Oryctolagus cuniculus: one gene and its partner. The protein of the gene in region 1 purifies or fractionates together with the protein of each later gene. This does not show direct contact. Links are inferred from orthologs where the notes say so. Each region holds a gene or a part of one and is shown on either strand. Other genes may lie near its edges.

Region 1 (2,206 bases):
AACACTGTGTAAGACCAGAGCAGTCTGAACCTTTGTATAAAGGCAAGCAGATCTACCTACTCAGCCACACGGCTGTCCCTGTATTCCAGCACTGCATATATGAGGACATTAATAATCAAGAAAAGGTTAAATTACATTTTCTCCCTTTCTGTGATTTTATATACTCATATAGGACACTGCTGCATTTTAAGAAAACATGTAAATTATGTTCACTTTCTCTTTCTCCAACTAAAGCAGTTAATTATAGCATAAAACCTAAAAGCTACCAGAGAAAAATTTTTTTAAGAAATTAGTTTCCTGTATTAATTTTCTGGGCATTTGAAATGTGATTGGGTATATTTTACTGTCAGTTTACTAGTATAACCATTTCTGCTAGCTTACATTTTTATGGGCTCTGTAGCTAATCTTCTGAATGTGGAAAAGTCTGTAAACCTTAGGCTTTTCTCCAAGTCTGTGGGATAAATGTTGATTTCCTAAACCATTTAGATTCATTTAGGCAAAGTAAATATAATTGCATCATTTTAAAATCACCCTAACTTTGAACAATCATTAGGAGATCTGGTAGCATTTTAAAGGGCCTTCTGTGGTAACTTTGATGATAGCTATAACATTTTGTGTTTGATAGTTAAACTGTATTTCTTGTAAGCTGTCTTTCAAACTGAGCAACTAAAATAGCATGCTGATTTTCGCCAAATGGCTTATTTATCCTCATTCTCTTCTACAAAAGATTAAGAAAAGAAATGTAATATATGCTTTACAACTTTGTAGGTTTTCTTTATATTTTAGACTAAAACTAAAAATGGATATCTTATAACAATCTCTTTAAAGATATTACAGTAATGTAGACATATAACTTTTTTCTTTTTAAAAAGTATGTCATATTATAAAAATACAATATATAATATTCTAGTTTCCCAGATATAGAATGCATATGAGTGAGGTGAAGGGCTTATAGCTATGTCTATTTTCTTTATATTGTTCTACATTTTCCAAATTTTCTGTAATTTATTAAATTATTTTCTGTAATAATTTATTAAGCAAAACCAAAGGTTATTTTTAAAAATATTATCCTAAGTACAAATTATAAAAGAATAGTAACAAAACTAGCTAACAATTATTAAGCATTTAGTGGGTGCCATGGACCAGCCTAAGAGCTTTCACACATTATTTCATTAATTTTTCACAATAGCCTTAACATAGAAATTGCTCCCTTTTCCCATTTTCTGAAGAGGACCTGCAGGCATGTCCCAAGCCTCCCAACTAATCTGCAGCAGGTTAGGAGCTGGACTTGATATGTGTAGGCCAAGGCCTCTTGTAATAATAATCACCATTAGACCTAGAGTCGAAGAGAAAAATTCCAAATTTAATCTTGAAATTAAAAAGAGAACACATCTACATTGAACCACTTGACAAGTTGAAAAAGTTGCAAGATTTTGCACGTGTAATTTGACTTCTTACTTCAATAATCATCCACTCAGATCTTATAGGAGGATTCTTTGTAAATGAAATGTTCTTTATAGAAGAAAATTAATTTACATTAAAATATATATGTGTGTATGTATATTTTTTTTATGTTTTTAATGGTAGACTTGTGTACTAATACAATATCATCTTCTCCACAGAATGCAGACTATACCACTGGTCAGGTCTTTGATTTGTCTGAAAAGTTAGAGCAGTCAGAAGCCCAGCTGGGACGAGGAAGTTTCATGTTGGGTTTAGAAACACATGACCGAAAATCAGAGGACAAACTTGCCAAAGCCACAAGAGACAGGTAAGAATAAGAATAAGAATAAGAAAAAGATTCTTTTTACTTTCAATTCTCAAATAATAGTAGGAACCAAATTCCTTACAGTTCAAATTAGTCAGAATAATATCTGAACATTAAACTTCTTGGGACCTTTAAAAGTTGTCAAATGCAGATTTTAACTCTGAAAATTTAGGAGTCATTAGGTCAGAACATTAAAGGCTTAAATCAAAGATGTAGGCAGTGACATGGAATACTCCCAGTCATCTCTTCTAGTTCAGCTACAAAGTCAAAGAAAGAAACTAATCTTCCTTTAGGTCTTCAAATTAAAAAAAAATAAATAAAAGCAAGCCTTTGCCAAAAGAATCTCTTGGTTTATTGTCATATAAGCATCTGTAGAATTAAATTAAGAGATGTTGAAACTTAACAAATTTCAGGGTTTTTTTCATAAAGTCTTAAATC
Region 2 (4,004 bases), on another chromosome or scaffold:
GAGAGATCACACTCCTTGTGTATAGGAAGCCACCAAACTATTAATATAAGTAGTTTGATCAGGAGGGACAGCCAATCCAGGTAAAGTTAGAAGCTGAATTAGTCAAATGAGCCATCCACCGTGATCAGATTTTAGTATATGGAAAACACTTCATTTTTCCTGTACTGGTAAACCTACCCTCACCAGTCCTGACATCTCCCCTACAAATATCCAAATCATGCTGGTAACAGTGTGATTAGCATACGCGCTGACGTGTTCCTGGACTGCTTACTGTGCCACAGTGAACTTAACTTCTGCTTTGCAGCTTCTGTGTTATCAGAAATTCCGTAGGAATCTGAGTATATTCGAGCTTTCCACTTTTGGCTTTTTTTTTTTTTTTTTTAATACACAGGTTCCTTTTCTCTGACCAAAACATATTCAATAAAAAGGGAAAATGACAGTTTACAAAAATAATAAAGATAAAAGAACACAATCTCTCACCTCCCTGGTCACATTTCTAACCCCTCACATAAACCAACTCTTCTCTCCACGTTTAAATTTTGACTGCGTGTTGGCCAATTTTCCATGTATGGCTCAAAACCTGTTACTGTCTCCACTTGAATAGGCTAGGAAGTGAGCTCTGGAACAGGGGGACTGAGGGGGCACCCCAGTTCTTGCTCAGATGGAAGGAGGAATCTATTGTTCCCAACCCGTGTGGGTGTGACTCACGGAAAATGACAAGTACTTGCTCTAGGCGGTTAGTGTTTCAAGGGAAAATCATCCCCAGAGAGAGAAACCTTGAAGGATTACAGTATCCCAACGGCTGGTGACTTCCAGCCAGCCCCATGGCTACTTTTTTGCCTTTTCAAAATATAAACAAAACCAAACCCTGCAAGCACCCAGCAGCTGGCTATGGGTATTAGGGGGAGGGGGGACCGGTCCTGCAGCCCAGCTAGGGTGTCAGAGCTGGGCTTGTTTTTCTGGGGCGCGGGGTGTCCGTTTTTGATGAACCCACCGAGTTGTTTACGTCTGACGTCTTCGGAGGCCCGGCTTCTTGGGCGTCTGCTCCACAGAGCCGGCGTTCGGGGAACCGTCGGAACCGTTTTCTTCTGTTCTGTTGGCTCTTTTGTTTTGAGGGGAAGAATCTAAAGGCAAGAGGAGATTATTTAAAGGACACACACACACACACAATCTTCAGTAAAAGAAACAATGGCCGGCACAAGTTGGCCCAGTGGCCAGGGGGATGAAAACCCACCGCCTCCACGCACGGTCCTGGACGGGGCGGCCCCCAGGAAGGTGGTCTGCACCACACAGAAATGGGGCCCCCGCACCTTCCTCTACCCTGACCCGGTGTGTGTGTGTGGGGGGGGGTGTTGGAGGCCGCTGATCAACATCCCGACCTTGTCACCTACCCAGGGGTAGGAAGGAAAGGCGCTGTTTTCAACCTGGGCAAAACGATCAGATCCTACAATCTCCCGGCTTCTGCCTTTATAAACAGACCAGCAGCCTCCCGGGTAACATTCAAAAACCCGAGATCAATAAAAAAGTTCGTTCCCTCCACCCCCCACCCGCGCCCCGAGCTCTCCCATCAGAATAGGCTGGAGTTAAAGAGCCGCAAGCAGGCAGAGCGGGAGCGCGCACCGACGGACCGACGGACTGACGGAGGACAGAGGCGCCTTTCGGCTCCGGGAGGGTCTTTACCGTCTGTGGCAGGTCGCTTCCTCATCCCCGCGCACTGCTCGGCCAAGGCCGTGGGGCCGTCGGACTGCTCAGTCTTTGGGTCCCCCAGGTGCGTGTCCTCGGAGCTGGCCTGGGACGCGGCCACCGGCGCCGCGGGGCGGACCCCGCCGGTGTCCTGGCTTTCCTGCGCCGGCACCTTGCAGGCGCCCTTGGGCGGCCGCGGGGGTCTGTAATAGAACTCGGGCAAGCTGCCCTTATCCACCTCCTGCCATTCGTACTTGCCCTCCAGGGGCTTGTGATTCTGGAAGTCGAAATTCCACTTGCGCTGGCTCGCCTCCTCCATGTCTCTGCAGTGCTTCTCCAGGTCCCGGGTCAGCTCTTCGTGATTCACCGGGCCGAAGAGGTTTCTGCAGGCGGAGGGCTTGGGGTGCTCCGCCTGCCTGGCGTCCGTGCGCTCCAGGCTTGGGCTCCCGTTGGACACGCGCACGTTGGACATCTCGCCCCGTACCGGGTCTGGACCCCGCCGCCTCTTCTCTGGCGCGCGCTCTCCGCAAAACAAAACCGAACGCAGCCCAACGCTCCGACGCTGCGGAGCCCCGCGAATGCGCTCAGAGCCCGGGGAGATGGACCCAGACCAGTCGCCGCCCGCGCTCCTGGGGGCGCGCAGGGTGCGGGAGCCGAGCGGGGACGCCCCGGCCGCGCAGCCCAGGCCGCCGCCGCCGCTGCCGATCAGGAGTGCGGGCGCGCAGGAGGGCGGGGAGGGGAGGGGAGGAGCGGGGAGGGGTGACCCGGCCGGTCCGAGTCCAGGCCGGAGCGAGTCCGCGGGTCTCCGCAAGCAGCCGCTCTCCAAACCTTGCGCCGACGGAGCCGCGCCGCGGGGAGAGAGAGTGGAGAGAAGGGAGGGGGCGTAAAACACCCCGAAAAGACGAGCCCCCTTTTTTTAGTGGCCCAATATGGCGGTGGAAGGGAGGCTGACGAAGAAGAAGATGATTGACACGGCGAGTCTATTTAAACAGAGGAGGAGATCCATTGGTCGCGGCGCCGGGAGCCGCCCCGCCGAGGCTGGCGAGCGCGGCCTTAAGGTGGCCCCGGCGCGGGGGCCGGCGCCCGCCCGCGTCCCCGAGCGCCGCCTGCAGACGGGGGCTGCGCGGCTGCCAGCAAACCTGCTGCGCCGGCCGCGGAGAAATTAAAAAGGCGACGGGCCCCGAAGAGCCAAACGGCCGGCCGCGGCGCTAGGGAGGGGCCTGGGCGGCGGGCCGGGCGGGGCCGCCAGGGTCTAGGACGCGCAGCCGCCCCCAAGCGCCGACCTCCCGGCTCCTCGCCAGGGCAACCACGGGCCCGGAGCCCAGGGGCCCCGAGGGTCGCCCCCGCGCCTCGTTCTGAGGCCCGCCGCCCAGCTGGTTCTGCTGGCGCCCGCCAAGCCGGGGGTGGGGGTGGGGGTAAGAGCCCTGCCCTTCCCTTCCCCATCCCCCACCCCCCACCTCACCCCAGCCCAGCTCGGCTCTCCCCCGCAGCTCCCACTTCGCGGGCAGGCCCCCTGCCCGGGTGCCTTCGCTGGGGCTGTAGAGGGTGAGACCAGTGGTGAGCTCACCCCTCACCACTAAGTCCCAGAGCAGGCAGGGAAGGGGCTCGGGGAAGCGAGCCAGGGCAGACGACTTTCTCTAAAGTAGCCGGAAGTGGACGCAGCGTTTAGAACGCGCTTGGAACCCAAGTTCTCCCTCAATAGAAAGGAGAAAGGACCTCGGGATGGACAACCCCCGTCTGGCCTCGCCAGCCCCTACGTGCACTTTGTTGCTGTCCCTAAACCCGGCTTTTAAAAACCGAGGTTGCAGCCCCCAAGTGCAGGGAGGGACGGGTGTGGAGAACTGTTCCTATTTCTTCCACCTGGGCCCAGCCCCTTGCTTCTCCCGCGGGATTCGCTGCAGCACCCGACTCGGAGCTGTATTTGGATGAAGGCTGAACTCTCTGAACGACGTTCAGCTGCGTGCTTTTAGATGCCTGGGTGAAAACACTCCAAGTCCACGTGATAAAGTGAGTTCACACAGCCCTGTCCTAACACCCGATGTTATTCGGGCATTTCTCTCGGCTCTCCTTTGCAACTTGACGTTTACCTGCCAGGTTGGTCTTCTGCAGGTGGTGGAAGTTGAGACAGGCCGGGGGCAGGGCCGTCCCGTTGGAGACAGCTCAGTCTGCGCATCACCCATTCACAACTTGTGGCATCTTACTGTGGGATCAGTTAGTTAAGTCTTATTGGACACCGAAGCCGGCGCCGTGGCTCAATAGGCTAATCCTCCACCTTGCGGCGCCGGCACACCGGGTTCTAGTCCCGGTTGGGGCGCCGGATT

Evidence for each region. The genes of interacting proteins can lie anywhere in the genome.
Region 2: the proteins of COPS5 (region 1) and CDKN1B purify together in Homo sapiens (affinity purification with western blotting; 11 studies listed by BioGRID and IntAct, with this or other methods). This does not show direct contact. The link is inferred for Oryctolagus cuniculus from reciprocal best matches to the Homo sapiens genes COPS5 and CDKN1B.

Annotation. Positions count from the first base shown.
Region 1 is NC_091437.1:92,672,087-92,674,292, reverse strand, and holds part of COPS5 (COP9 signalosome complex subunit 5), read left to right. Parts: intron 1-1,622; coding exon 1,623-1,771; intron 1,772-2,206. UniProt on the Homo sapiens protein: Probable protease subunit of the COP9 signalosome complex (CSN), a complex involved in various cellular and developmental processes.
Region 2 is NC_091440.1:110,363,093-110,367,096, reverse strand, and holds the start of CDKN1B (cyclin-dependent kinase inhibitor 1B), read right to left. Parts: upstream 2,801-4,004; 5' UTR 2,156-2,800; coding exon 1,681-2,155; intron 1,125-1,680; coding exon 1,003-1,124; 3' UTR 995-1,002; intron 1-994. UniProt on the Homo sapiens protein: Important regulator of cell cycle progression. Inhibits the kinase activity of CDK2 bound to cyclin A, but has little inhibitory activity on CDK2 bound to SPDYA. Involved in G1 arrest. Potent inhibitor of cyclin E- and cyclin A-CDK2 complexes.